Linked DNA regions of Canis lupus familiaris. The protein of the gene in region 2 binds, or shares a complex with, the protein of the main gene of each other region. Links are inferred from orthologs where the notes say so. Each region holds a gene or a part of one and is shown on either strand. Other genes may lie near its edges.

Evidence for each region.
Region 1: ERCC2 (region 2) and POLR2L share a complex: the UniProt entries of both Homo sapiens proteins name them as parts of the TBP-based Pol II pre-initiation complex. The link is inferred for Canis lupus familiaris from reciprocal best matches to the Homo sapiens genes ERCC2 and POLR2L.

What each region holds. Positions count from the first base shown.
Region 1 is NC_049239.1:45,630,720-45,637,851, reverse strand, and holds POLR2L (DNA-directed RNA polymerases I, II, and III subunit RPABC5), read left to right. Parts: upstream 1-2,790; 5' UTR 2,791-2,860; coding exon 2,861-2,955; intron 2,956-3,738; coding exon 3,739-3,847; 3' UTR 3,848-4,039; downstream 4,040-7,132. Other genes in the region: CD151 antigen, read right to left, coding at 5,878-5,937, 6,030-6,116, 6,278-6,436, 6,558-6,662, 7,074-7,132. UniProt on the Homo sapiens protein: DNA-dependent RNA polymerase catalyzes the transcription of DNA into RNA using the four ribonucleoside triphosphates as substrates.
Region 2 is NC_049222.1:110,893,640-110,901,116, forward strand, and holds part of ERCC2 (general transcription and DNA repair factor IIH helicase subunit XPD), read left to right. Parts: intron 1-1,289; coding exon 1,290-1,408; intron 1,409-4,007; coding exon 4,008-4,077; intron 4,078-4,161; coding exon 4,162-4,231; intron 4,232-4,330; coding exon 4,331-4,432; intron 4,433-5,555; coding exon 5,556-5,619; intron 5,620-6,139; coding exon 6,140-6,261; intron 6,262-7,123; coding exon 7,124-7,216; intron 7,217-7,317; coding exon 7,318-7,390; intron 7,391-7,477. UniProt on the Homo sapiens protein: ATP-dependent 5'-3' DNA helicase. Component of the general transcription and DNA repair factor IIH (TFIIH) core complex, not absolutely essential for minimal transcription in vitro.

The DNA.
Region 1 (7,132 bases), on a different chromosome or scaffold from region 2:
TGTCTCAGGTACCCAGTGTGTGCCCACCCACCTCCAGGCCAGTGTGGTTCCCCCAGAGCCCTACCACATGGGGCCCAGACCACAGGGCTGCCTGGCAGTGTTGTTCCCAAATGCCCTGAGCCCGGGCTCGTCCAAGGGGTCACTAGGTCAGGGCCACCACAGCCTCAAGCACGCTTGCAGACATCGTCACTCAAGACTCCTCAATCCCCAGGGCCCAGGGCTAGTGCAGGCTCAGCAGGCAAGGGACCCTGAGTGACCCAGAGGAGGCATACGAGCATGGCCGCATGGCCGTGCAGGGACCCTCCACCCTGTAGAGCGCTCCCCCCCCCTCCCCGTGAGTGCACATCTGCATCTGCCCAGAGCAAGAGGAGCAGGGGCCAGGCCTGCATTACCAGGACTGGGTCCCTCCAGCTGGGCAGCTATAGGTTCTACCCACACTCTACAGACGGAGAAATGATGCCAGGACTGGTGGGCAGGGTCGGCTGATTCCCTGTACACTGGGCCGGGCTCTTGGCTGGAGCGTCTCAGCAGCAGAAGCTTCCACTGCTGTCCTCCGCCCCTGCCTGCCCTGCAGTGACCCTTTTCTGGCAGGAAGCGTGGCTCACGGGTTCCCAACCACATGTGGCACAGCCCTCCCTCCCTCCCTATGCCCCCCCCACAAGATACCCTATGCTCCAAACGCTGGCAGTCTCCCTCCCCAGAGGCCTGGGCCACATCTGTGCTGACACTGCACCAGAGAGGAGAAGTGAGGGCCCCCCTTCCCCTGCAGGCCCCCGAGGCTCCCCTCCCCACCCCTCCTCCCCACCAGTGCCTGGGGCCCTAAGGGCTCCCTCCCGCCCAACCCAACTCCCCCCACAACACACACACAGAGGCCACCCAGGGCCGAGGCAGCTGGCAGGGCTGACCTCTGAGGCTCCCCAGTGTCCTGCAGGGTTGAGGAAGGCAGGATAGAGACAGAGAAGAGGACCCAAGGCCCCACAGGGTGTCCCGGCACACCTGTGCTGAGGGTGCAGCCGGGATGCTCCCCACCGTCTGTCCTTGGAAATCAGGGAGCTGGAGGGAGGAGCCCAGGAAGAGGCCACCACCACCCCCAAATCTACACACAGCTCACAGAATTCCAGGAATGTCAACTTGGCTCAGGCCTGGATCAAGGCGGGAGGCTCATTCCCCTCACTCTTTCAGAGTAAACAACTACTCCCAGCAGGAGCATGGGTGGGGCAGGCCCTGGGCCCCTCCTCCAGGAAGCCTTCCACCCCAGCGGCTCCCCAAGTTCCACCCAGCTGACAGCCTGGGTCCCCTCCGCTGTGTCCCTCACCTGCACAGTTGCCAATAGTCTCTGCAGGGGAGCCTGGGTCTGACCCCAGGCCACCGTGACTCCAGGCCCCCTCTCCTGTCCCTCTTGTCCAGGCACAGGATGTGCGTCCAGTGGGTGGGGTGGGGGGGCAGCTGGGAAGGGAAGTGGCCTCTCTCGTGGCTCTGCACGTGGCAGCGTGGAGGATGACAAATGCACTGGGCAGGCTGTCCAGGGCCCAGGCAGAGGTGGCCAGCGCCTCCCAGGCCCCAGGGGACCCTCAGGCTCCCTCCCTGAAGCTGAGGCCAGAATCCACCACCCACCGTGGGAGGGTGGGGAGTACAGGCCCCACTCATGCCCAGCCCACCTGACTAGCTGACACCCGCCCCCCCCCCCCCCCCCGCAGGCGCTGCTCTGGAACACATCCATCCCCACAGCCCCAAAGTCTGCCTCCTCCAGGGAGCCCTCCCTGCCTCCCCCCACACAGATCTGCACACACCCCCCCCCCGTGGCCCCCGGATCGAGGAGCTCACCTCACCCCGCCCCCAGGGACACAGCCTCATCGTCCCTTCCACCCTCTGTGGCTGCTGCCCCACCATCTCTGACTCCACCACCTACTCCAGCCCTGGCACGAACCCGCGGCCTAGAGCTGCCCGCAGGTATGGCCTCCAGGGCCCTATCCAAGGGGTCCCCCGGCCAGGATCAATGCGCTCCCCGACACACGCGGGCTCTGCAGGGCGCCTCTTCCACGCCGCCCTCCAGGACCACCCGCTCCAGCCTCCGCCCTGCTCTGAGTCCTCAGAGCCCCGACCGCCCGCACCCCCAGGCCCTTCCCCCAGGGCCGCAGAGGGCAGGCTGGGGCGCTGGGGGGGCAGGAGCTGCGGCCGAGCCGGCCGTCGGGGCTACAGTGCGGCCGAGCGGGCCGGGCCGGGGCGGGGACAGCCTTCGCCGCGCCGGGCCGGGAGGGGCCGCGGGAAGGTCCCTCCGGGGCCCCCCTGCCCCCGCCCCCCGCCGCGGGTCCCCGCGCCCCCGGCCCCGGCCCGGCCCCGCCACTTGTTGCTGCGGCTCGGCTCGGGGCTCCAACTCTGCGCCCGCTCGGCTCGGCCCCGGCTCGGGTCCGGGTCCCGGTCGGGGGTTCCGAGGGGCGGGACCTCGGCCGCATCCCCGCGGACCGGCTCTGTACCTGCGCGCGGTCCGCCCGCCGCGCAGCTGTCAGTCATGCGGACACGAGGAAGGCGAAGCGCCGCCGTCGGGCCCTTTCGGTCCCGCTAGGCCGCCGTAGGCCGGGACGTACCAAGGCGAAGGGCCGGGGGGGGGGCGACGCTTGCTCCGGTAGCGGCCGCGTGGGCCCCGGAGCCCCCGGTCCGCGCGGAAGGAGCTCGGCCCGGCAGGGAACGGACGGCGGCGGCAGTGGGGCCGGGGGGCGGGCCGGGGGCGGCCGGGGGCGTGGCGGGACTGGGACTTCTCCCCCCCGCGCCATGGACGCGCCCTCGGCGGGGCCTGCTCCCGGGCGGAAGCGCCGCCCCGTCTGCCAGTCCCCGCGCCGCCGCCGCCGCCGCCGCCAGCGCCATGATCATCCCGGTCCGCTGCTTCACCTGCGGCAAGATCGTCGGCAACAAGTGGGAAGCCTACCTGGGGCTGCTGCAGGCCGAGTACACCGAGGGGTGAGGCTCCGGGCCGGGCGGCGTGCGGAGCCGGGGCCGCGGGGGGCGGGGGGGGCCCTGCTGGGCGCGGGGCCGGCGGGTCGGGCCGGGGCGCGGGGGGCGGGGCGCGGGGCGCGGGGGGCCCCGGAGGGACCAGGTGCCGGCCGCGAGCAAGGGGGCAGGCGGGCAGCGGGACTGCGGGACCGCGGGGACTTGCACACGGACCCCGGCAGGTCGTGGCTCCTGCCCGGAGCAGTTCGGGGCTCCCTGCCCTCCCGCCCTCGGAGGCCCCCGCGCCCGCGAGCCCGCGGCTCTGGGGTCGTGGGCCGGGCTTCCTGGCCACGGAGCCCTGCGGAGCGGGCCGTCCCGGGGCCGCTCTCCCGTCGCTGCCCGTCAGCGCGGGCGTCAGCACCGGCCTCGCGGGCGTCTGCACCTTTAACCCCGGCCTGCGGCGTTTGGGGTGAGCGGGGAGGCCAGGTTGCTGGGGAGTCTGTCGGAAAGACCGAGTGTGAGGGAACCGGCCGGAGGCCCTGGAAGCCCCGGGCAGGAACCGCCCAGCCCTGCGGCTTCCCAGCTCGGCGGCGCTGCACGTCGGAGCAGTGCTCTGGGGATTTTCTGGAAGCCCTTGGGGCAACAGGGGCTGGGCCCCAGGGACACTGACAACTCTAATCGGCTTGGGAAACGGCAGAGAGACGGCTCCCTCCGCGGGGGCGGGGAGGGGGGGCTTGCTCCAGCAGGGTTCGGGTCCTCCGTGTGCCCAGGACTGCCTGCCCCAACCGGGTGTGATCTGCCCCTCACCCACAGAGATGCCCTGGATGCGCTGGGCCTGAAGCGCTACTGCTGCCGCCGCATGCTGCTGGCACACGTGGACCTGATTGAGAAGCTGCTCAACTACGCGCCTCTGGAGAAGTGACAAGTGACCTGCTCACGCCCGTCACCCGGTCACCCGCTGTGCTCACCAGGGGCCGTCTGCGCCGTGCCCCCAGGCACTCCAGTGTGGTCGGGGTGGCATGGAGCATGCCTGTCCACCACCTGTGGATGTGTGTCCCTGCTCTGGAAAGAACTGTCCATTAAAGGTCTTTGCAGAACCATGAAGAGGTCCTAACAGTTGGCCTGGCTTTGTGGGACTCCCTGGTGTTTCTGTGTCCTGCCTCATGCTTGAAGCTGTTTGGGGATAGACGTGGCTCTCACCGTTCAGGGCCCAGAGGTGGCGGGGGTGGTGGAGGGCATCTCACAGCCCAGTGACAGTACACAGACAGCCAAGAGCACTCAGGTTGAGGGTCAGGAGACATTGGCCTGCCCACCACCAGGTTCTGGTTGACCTTTAGGACAAGCACGGAGATCCTCACATCCCTTCCCAGGATCTCAACAACCAGATATTTGAGCCCTGAGTGGAATAACTGCTGCAGTCTCGGCTGCCCATCCTGAGATCTTGCTGCCAGAAGCTTCTAGGCTCCAGCCAAGTTCCTGTGGAGGGGCAGGGATGGTGCCCAGCCTCCATAGCCAGCACTGAGACCCGCACAGTGGGTTGAGGGTGGCCCTGAGGAGGCTCTGCTGGGTGTCAGGGTTTGCCAAGCTCCCGGTGGCCTGGGTATTAGCACTTAATCCTACAGGCCTGCCCAAGAGCTATCTGTCCTATTCCAGGTCCACTGAGGCTTACAGCTGACAGCTGTCGCCCTGGACAGGAGTCTACCAGGCCCTAGTGCCCTTAAGCAGGCAGAAGGCAGGAGTGTGTGGTTAGAAGAGAGAAGGGGACTCTTGACACCGTCTTCAGGGCCAGCCCTGCTGCCCAGGTATCTGACATGCGGTCCTCTGAGGGCCAATGAGCAAACCTATCACGGCAGGGGGAGGAAGGGTCTGCCAGGGGTACATGCCCTGCAGAGCTCAGGCCTCTCCTGTCCTGTTCCAGAGGCCCTCTCCCCATCCCTAACGGCTACCCATGCCAGAAGGACGTTTGGAAACAAGCAGGTCTAGGCCATTTGAGGCCTCCATTGCCTCTGGCTCTCCCCACTGCCACCATTTTTCTGTCCCAGAACCGGCATGGTTCTGCTTCACAGCCTGTGCTCAGCGGTCCCTGCTACTGGCTGCCTCTCGCTGGAGTCCCATCAGTCTCCAGAATGTACCCCCCGGGCCCCAGCCCCTGTCCTGGCACTGGGTGGGTGGTTCTGTCCACCCTGGTGGGGGGAAGGCCCTGAGTACCAGGACCCTGACAGTCACTAACACAATAAGCTCAATCCATTCCACAAACGTTTATTGAGCGCCTATTGTGTGGCACGAGCAGTTCTAGGCATTTGTGATAACAGCAGTGAATAAAACCCACAAACCCCCCTGCTTCTGGGAAGGAGAGAGGACTGTGGACAAGTAAATGTGTGGCCTTTGGGGAGAGAGGTGGGGAAGTCCAAGCAGAGGCTCGGGCAGCAGAGACTTCAGGACAAGAGGCCCAGGACCCCCAGGGCAGGACCGGGCTTACTTGGCTTTCCCAGGGATCTGCGGACACCTGGGACTCCTCACATGCAGGTGTCCTGTACTCCCTTCACCTACCCCACCCAGCCAAGTCCTCCTTAGACTGCATGGGAACATCTGGGGGTCTAGGAGCATCCTAGAGTGGGTCCGCCCCTCCAGCTGAGCGCAGGCATCAGGAACCCCAAGGTCCTGTGACCCCACTCACAGGCAGAGGTACTGCTCCTTCCCCACCCTGGGGGGGCAAGCTTCAGGCCTTTGGTCTGCAGAGAAAGGCACTTGTAGCTCCCTCTGAGGGTGGGGATCCCCAGAGGTTATGGTGATGGTTTGGGGATGTGCACATGGGCTTAAGAACGCACCCTCCCTGGCAGAGTGGGGAGGGGGGAAGGAGCAGCATCCTGGAAGCCCAGCTCCTGGCCCTCAGTAGTGTCAGCTCAGTAGTCAGGTGGCGAGGCTGCGGCATACACAGTGGTACACCCATGCTCAGTAGTGTTCCAGCTTCAGGCTCTTGTACAGGCAGCATGTGAAGATCATGCCAAAGACCTGTGGCACAGGGCCAGCATGAGTGTGGCACAGTGCCAGCCACATAGTGTGCCCCAGCACCCACCAGGGCCTGTCCCACCCCACCCCCGAACCTGCACACAGGCGATGCCAATGCCCACAGCGCCGATGACCCTCAGGTGTTCCTGGATGAAGGTCTCCAGCTTGGTGATGCAGCCACCCTGGCAGAGTAGGGGTCAGGGCACTGAAGGGAGGCGATTCTAGCCACCCCCCCAACTGCTGCAGCCCGACCCCCCTCCAGGTGTGACCACACCAACCCCCAGCATCCTGGGCCCCTGGCTCCTCGGCCCTTCCCAGGGACCCCAGGCATCCACCAGCCTACCTCCACCTTGTAGATGTTGGAGGCGTGGTCCCGCTGCCCACAGCCAGGCACCACAGTCTTGCAGCAGCTGTCGGGAACCACACGGCCGCCCGCCTGGCCCGAGCGGATCCACTCACTGTCCCGCCAGTCTTGTGAGTTGTTGCTGCCACAGCAGTGGAACTGCGGTAGGAACACGGCCCAGGCTAAGTCCCTGTCCCACCCACCCCCATGGCAGGGTTCATACAGAGGTCCAGGGGTGCCCAAGGGGATGTGTATGCACCCCATGGCACCACCCACTCACCTCCTGTTGCAGCTTATCCACAGCACTGGTCACACCCTCATGGCCTGGCTGGTGGTACCGCTTGGTCATGGTGTCCTTCAGGTTGTCCTTGAGCTCAGCGTTCAGCTGGGGGTGAGGTGGTCACAGCTTCAGCTGTACAGCCTAAGATCCCTCAAGGTAGGTGGGGCAGGTGGAAGCAGGTGCCGACGATGGGGGAGAGGTTCGGGAAGGCTGCTGGCCTGGGAGGGGGTGGGCTGGGCTGGGAGAGTCACCAGGTGGCCATGGAGAGGGCTGGGGACAGGGAGAGAGATCCAGATCCCAGGGACACCTTCCTCCCCTCCTGAGCCCCTAGCTGGGCAGTTTGGGCACTGACTGGCAGGCTGTGCCTCCCTGCTGTCAGCCCTACCCACTGGGACACAGCCCCCACCCCCAGGGCCTCCTGGCCCAGTGGTCAGTTCTGGAGCATGGGGGATCATGTCTGTGTGTCTGTCTGCACATGTCTGTCCCTCCATGGTCCTGTCTGTCCAGGCTCCTCACCTGCTGGTAGTAGATGTAGGCCAGAATGCCAGCAATGATCTCCAGCAGAAAGATGATGA
Region 2 (7,477 bases):
GGGTGGGTTGGTCTCCCCAGCACAGAAAAGGCAGAGCATGGACCTGGCAGTGGGGTGGGGCCTTCTGTCCTGTTCCTCTGCTGTTTGGGAGAAGTCCTGGGTCTCCTCTGAACCTCAGCTTCCTCCTCTGTTGAATGGATAGGGCGTTACCACCTTTCCTCTCTGGTTTCTGTGGTGGTTAAATGAGAAAGCAGTGATAGAAGTAACTCCCTTACGTCTTAGGCACCGATGATGAGCCAAGTGCTAGACGTTCCGTAGCTTGTGGAATCTCTGTGCAGCGTCCCTGGCTGTGGATGAGGACAGTGTGGCCCAGAGACGGGAAGCTATCACCCAGGGTGACATGGCACCTCGTGGGGTAGTTGTCTGAAGCCAGGCCTCTAGGGCTCTCCGAAGCCCCTGGCTGTCCTGCATCTTGGGGTGGGACGGCCCTTGGGGTGGCTTCATCTGTCCCTCTTCATGAGAGACTTGCGAGGGCAAGGATGGGATCTTAGTCATGTTCTCTGAGCACCTGCTCTGTGCTGGGGCCTCTGCTCTGTGACCAAGACCATGTTGGACTCTGCTCTCCTGGGGCTCAGAGCCCACTGGGGAGACAGACCTGTCCCCAGATTAGGACGACCTCGAGTGGTACGGCGGGGATGGGGGACCCCCCAGGAGGTGCCTGATCCAGCCAGGATGTGGGCACAGAGAAGATGGACTTGAAGCAGTGATGTCCGGAGTCTGGTTCTAAAACTCTGACCGTCTGCCTGGCTCTGAAACCAGGCGCTCCTGTTCTAGGACCTGCCCTCCTTGAAGGGTGACAGCCTCAAGCCTGACTGTCGGTGTTTGTGACTGGGTGACCTTGTGTGTGTGTGTCCATGAAGGGTGTGTGGGATTGTACCCTGTGAATGTGTGGTTCTCTGAATGTATGTGTCACCAGGGTGGCCGAGTGTGACTGATGCAGTGGGAGGGGTCCTGGGTGTGAGTGTATGTGTGGCCATGCAGGTTCGGGTTGTGACTGGGATTCTGGGTGTAGCTCTGGGTCTCCTCTTTGAACCAAGAGCCTGCGTGAGATTGTGTGACCACATGGGACATGTTTCCATGTGACTCGATGTATGGTCACTGCTCTGTATACACCATCATCTGGCCGTGGCTCTGTAGGACATGCAGCTGTACGGTGAGGAGACACTGGTGACTGAAACGGCTCCAGTCTCTCCTCATGGAGCACCCAGTCACCTGGGGAGGCGTGTGTGGCCGCGCGCTGACAGTGGGTAGAGAGGGACTGACCTGACCCCACATGGCTTCCGCCCCAGATTCTGTGCCGAACGCCTCCGCTCCCTCTTGCACACCCTGGAGATTGCCGATCTTGCGGACTTCTCTCCCCTCACCCTCCTCGCTAACTTCGCCACCCTCGTCAGCACCTATGCCAAGGGTAAGCTCATCTCCTGCCTCTGCCAGGCCCCCTGGCAGCTGGAATCAGGATCCCAGCAGAGTCCAGGGGGTTGGGACTGGGACCTTCAGGACCTTGTAGGGCTGGGCTCAGGAGTTTGGGTTTTGTTTCGAGTACAGTGAGGTTCCACAGATAGTCCTTGAGCTAGTGAAGCCTTGTGCTCAGATGTATATTTTCAGAGGCTCCCTCTGGCTGCAGAATGGAGTAGGATGGGGGACGAGGCCAGAGAAGCTCTGTGGGGTCACTTACACTGTAGGGTATGGTGGTAAGGAGTTGGCCCTTCTACTTCTGGGAAGTGGGAAGCCATGGAAGATTCCAAGCAAGGGAAGAGCAGAGGCAGGGACCTGAGGCAGGATGGGAGGATGAGAGGGGCTGGAGAGAGATGTGGGACCTGGTACCTAGGATTGGGGGGGCAGGAAGGCATGGCAGGGAGGGGACAAGGAGCTGAGTATAGCACTCAGGTGCCAGGGAGAGGGGACCAGAGACTTTACTGGTCAGCACTACCTCCCCTTCCTTAGCATTAAACTGGCTGAGGGCTCAGTCTGATCCCTGGGGATTACTACTCTATCCTGGAAACCAGGTCAGGCTTCCTGATACCCTGTACCCAGCCTAGAGGATAGAGAGGCTGTCCCCCAAATCAGCATCCATCAGCAGCAAGTCCCACTAGAAGCTTCCTTCCGTGTCCATCCCCCTGTCCTTCCCCTTCTTCCTTCTGGGGCTGGCTTTCTCCTCTTCTGCCCACTTCCCTGTCCACCAACACCTCACATTCTTCTGCCTGGAATGTCTATCCCGATATTCCTTAGCCCCCAACTACCTCCTACTCATCCTTCAGTTCTTGGCTTGTTAAAAATGTTCCCTTCTCCAGGAGGTCCTCCCTGACCCCCCAGGGTGTGTCTCTTCCTCTTGGCTCTCCTGTTCCAGCTCTGTCTACTCTGAGTGGTCACTCTCTGGGGACAGGACTATGAGCCCTGAGAGGGCAGGGCCAGAGATGTCATGGTTCCCACTGTGTCCCCAGTACAGGGCCAGGCACAGAGGATTTTTTTTTTTAAGATTTTATTTATTTATTCATGAGAGACAGAGAGAGGCAGAGACACAGGCAGAGGGAGAAGCAGGCTCCCTGTGAGGAGCCCGATGTGGGACTCGATCCCGGAACTCCAGGATCACACCCTGAGCCAAGGGCCGACGCTCAGTCACTGAGCCACTCAAGCATCCCAACTTTTTTTTTTTTTTTAATTAAGTAAAATTGAATATGTGAATTCATTCATTTGCCTATTTTTTTTTTAAATTTTTATTTATTCATGATAGGCACACAGTGAGAGAGAGAGAGGCAGAGACACAGGCAGAGGGAGAAGCAGGCTCCATGCACCGGGAGCCTGACGTGGGATTCGATCCCGGGTCTCCAGGATCGCGCCCTGGGCCAAAGGCAGGCGCCAAACCGCTGCGCCACCCAGGGATCCCTCATTTGCCTATTTTTAAGAAAAATTTTATTTGTATTTATTCATGAGAGAGAGCGGCAGGGAGAGAAGCAGGCTCCCTGTAAGGAGCCCAGTGTGGGACTGGATCCTGAGACCCCAGGATCAAGACCTGAGCCGAAGGCAGATGCTCAACCGCTGAGCCACCCAGGCATCCCCACCTGTGTTTTTGGTTTTTTTTTTTTTCAACAAATGGGTCCTGCCCAGCACTGAGGAAGTGGCAGAAACCAAGAGGGACCCCATTCCTGATCTCCTGGCAGTTACACTGTAGAGGAGAAGACAAGTAACAAAGACTCAAATAAAAAAGATAATTCCAGAAAGGGATACTTTTTCACAAGAAAAATGTTGCCATGTTGGAGCATGCCTGCAGTGGCCAGGATGGCCAGGGAAGCCCTGAGGTGCTGACATTTGAGCTGAGTTCCAAATGACCAAATGGAACCAGCTGCCTTGGGAAGCTTTTCAGGCTGTGAGGCCAGCAAGTACAAAGGCCCTGGGGTGGAGTGAGCCTGGTGGTTTTTGAAACTTAGGAGGCCTGTGAGCTAGGAGAAAATGGGTCAGCGTGGCGGGTTCTCGCAGATAATTTTGGACTCCGGAAGGAGTATGGGGAGCTGTGCAGGGCTTCTGAGCAGGGCAGGGATGTGACCTGAATCAGAATTTTACAGGGTCCCTCTGCTTCTGGGAGGGGAGCAGGGGCAGCAAGAGCTGGATGCCCAGTGAGGTGACTGCAATGGTCCAGGCTAGAGGTGATAGTGGGGGAGGGAGTGGGGGCAGTGGTCAGATTGCAGATAGGCTTTGGAGGCAGAGCTTGACCCATGGCTTAGATACCATGATCATGGAAGGCTCCAGGCTTTGGCTTGAGTGGTGGTGTGGGTTCTTAGAGCCTTGAGAGTGTCTGAGGAGTAAACCTTTAGTGCTCTCTGCTCATGATGCTCCCTGAGTGGATGTCAGCCCTGGGAGAAGCGGGCAGGTTGGGGTGTACTTTGGACTCCCAAAGACTGGGTTTTAAGCTTGAGCAACTGGTGGTTGGCCCCAATCACTAATGGGGGGAGGAGGTAATAGACAAGTGGGCTTGGCTATGACCGGTGACCTGGAATCTCACCCGGTTGTAGGTTTCACCATCATCATCGAGCCCTTTGATGACAGGACCCCCACCATTGCCAACCCCATCCTGCACTTCAGGTGAGACCCAACCGCAGTGTGAGGCTGTCAACAGACCACGGGGGCCCAAGCATGGTCCTCACCACCCTCCTCTGCTTCCTATAGCTGCATGGATGCTTCACTGGCCATCAAACCCGTGTTTGAGCGTTTCCAGTCTGTCATCATCACATCTGGGGTGAGGACCCTTATCTGCCCTAAACTCCCAGTCCTCTACTATGGGGATCCTGGTTTCTGCCCGGTCCTGCTAAGATCCCTCCTGCTGTCCCTGCTATAGACGCTGTCCCCACTGGACATCTACCCCAAGATTCTGGACTTCCACCCCGTCACCATGGCAACCTTCACCATGACGCTGGCCCGGGTCTGCCTCTGCCCTATGGTGCGTGGGAGAGGGTGGATGCTGGGCCAGGGGAGATGTGTCAGCTCTCGTCCTCCTGTTCCCTCTCAGGCTGCTCAGGCAGGAGAGTATTAGCCTGAGGGCATAGGCTTTGATTCAGATAGATCTGGGCTTGATGCTACTGCTTCCTGTGGGTCTGACTCCCCAAGCCTCAGTTTCTAACCTGTAACATGGGGATGCATCCTCCCTGACCTCCCAGGGCGGTTGAGGTGATAGTGAGATAGTGGATACAAGATGCTTATGTGGCCCAGAGCCTGGCACCAGTCGGCCCTCAGTCAGCATCTTGGTTAATGTGGGCTTTGCCTGGTTCATCATCTGGTCATGACCTTGATGATGACCCTTCTCTGCCTCAGCCTCCTTTGTAAAACAGGCATCGTAACATGAGCCCTTAATTCCTTATCTGAATCCCTTGGGCCAGATGTATTTTAGAATTGAGAATTTTCCAGATTTTAAAGACAAACCACATGCTGTACAGTATGTGACATCCCCAGTGGGGTCTGGGCAGCTCCCTCCAGTGAAAGTTTTATTTCAGCAGGAACATGTTTTGAAACGTCAAACTAAGGGAGGTAAGTCAGGACTCTGAATAGACTCAGGTCAGGGCAGATTTTGCCACTATAGGAGTTTGCACCAAACTTAAATATCTGGAGTTCCTTGGGTCTTGGAATTGCCCTTCAGGGGTTGTGGACTGGTGACGGCCACATTCTGCATCATGGTTTTGTGGAGTTGCTGGGGGGGGGGAGGGGGGGAAGGGGAGGTGCACCTGTGGCTGGCGGTTGGTGAGGTTGTGGTGGAACCCTTTCTTCTGGAACTGTGTGGCTGGGAGGCTGAGGCCAGTAACACATATTTGCTGGTTAGCAACACAGACAGACTTGGGTTCAGTGTCGGCTCTGCCCTTGATTTGCCACGTGACCTTGGGCAGGCAGGCAGCTCACATCTGGGCCTGAGGTCATCCATCCGTGCAGTGCAGATAACAGGGGAGCTGAGGGTTCACTCAATGACATTGTGTCTATAAAAAGCTCAGCCTGGCACCGGCAGGCAGCTAACGCATCAGAATGGTGCTGTTTGCTTATCGTTTGCTTATTGTGACGTCTGTTGCTCTCTGCAGATCATTGGTCGTGGCAATGACCAGGTGGCCATTAGCTCTAAATTTGAGACCCGGGAAGATATTGGTATGCTGCTCATGGTGGTTTGTGTGGCTCCTGAGAGGGGAGGTGTATCAGTGGGCTAAGTCATGCTGCAGTAACAAACATCCCCAAATTACAGTGGCTTGACACAGAGGTTACTTTTTGCTCACAGTATGTGACACTGTGGACTGGTGGGGGCCTGCCCCGTGGTTTCTCACTCCAGGAACCCTTACCACGTCCCCTAAATTGTGACGGCAAGGATCCTGGTAATGGTGCTGGGCCTCACGAGGGTTTACCTGGAAGTGACACATAGCCACTTCATGCATTTCATTGGCTAGGTCGAGTCACATGGCCACGCCTAACTTCAGGGGCGGGGGGTGGGGTGGGGTGGTGCAGTTCTCTCAGGCCAGAAAGAGAAGTGGAAAGTATGTGAACAGCCCTACTGGTGGCCTCTGGGATTTCTAGGAACTCCAAGTTCAAGACAGGGCATTAGTTAGGAAAGCTCTGACGAGGGAGTAGGGAGCAGGACCCAGGCACACTCTGACCCCTACCTCCCCACCCCTAGCGGTGATCCGGAACTATGGGAACCTCCTGCTGGAGATGTCTGCTGTTGTCCCTGATGGCATCGTGGCCTTCTTCACCAGCTACCAGTACATGGAGAGCACCGTGGCTTCCTGGTATGAGCAGGTAAGCCCAGCCACCTGCTCTCCAGGAAGGCCCCACTCTCCTCTGTTCTTGGCTCTGTTCCTCTGTGTGTTGGCTTTGTCTGTCTTGTGTTTTAAGTGGTAACATGGATCTAAAACATCTGAACAGTTCAAAGAATAAACAGCATCATACCCTGGTCCCCCCCTTCCTCCCACATCCCGGTTAAAAACTTAAGAGCCCCTGTGGGACAGTGCAGGGGTGAGGTCATAGAGCGTTCTGGAAATGGGGCTCACCACAGCCAGGCCCTGGGTGGCTGCAAGGATGGGAGTGTGGGAGGGGCCTGCCGTGACATGTCTGCTTCTAGGGCACCACGGCCCAGCTCTTGGGTGGGTGAAAGCAGGTGCTTGTTAAGGGTGAGAGGAGAGAACTTGGCTAATCACTAGAAAGCACTTGCCCCCCTGAATGGTACAGGTGACCCATCGCTGTGGGGGTGTGTTTCTGTACCTTCTGTCCCAGCGTCTGTCCTTGATCAATGTCGCATGGCTAGTGTGGGGTCACTGAAATCTCTGGGCAGCCGTGGCCTGGCCTCCATCAGCCCCTCCACTAACCACCAGCTGGAGGGGCGGAGTGTCCCAGTTGGCCATCTTGAGCGCTCTGCCTGCCCCACTTATCTGAAAGATGGGGGGCAGGGGTGGGTTCTTGCCTGGATTGCAGAGCTTCCCGCAAGGAGTGAGGCCAGCCTCAGCCTATACCACCTCCCCGCTCCCTCCCCGAGTTTCTACTGGCCTGCCAAGGCCTGGGAAGACAAGTGGTCTATAGCATGGGAATCGGGGCAGAGTTGACTTTAGCCAGGATGCCTGTACCAACCCCCAGCCTGACCTGCCTGCTGTCTGTCCTTCCCTAGGGCATTCTTGAAAACATCCAGAGGAATAAGCTGCTCTTCATTGAGACCCAAGATGGGGCTGAGACCAGCGTTGCCCTGGAGAAGTACCAGGAGGTGGGTGGGGGTGTGGGAGGGTGCCCTAGGAGACTGTGTGCAGAGGGCCCGAAGGAGGCAGTTCTGAGCATGTGTCTCCTGTCTTGGCCTCCCCTCCCCAGGCCTGTGAGAATGGCCGTGGAGCCATCCTGCTGTCAGTGGCCCGAGGCAAAGTGTCCGAGGGAATTGACTTTGGTGAGTGGACAGGCTCTCCCCTTCCAGGTGCCTGCCTGGAGCTCTAGCTGTTTGTTCACACGGGACCCCCCCTTCCACACAGACACA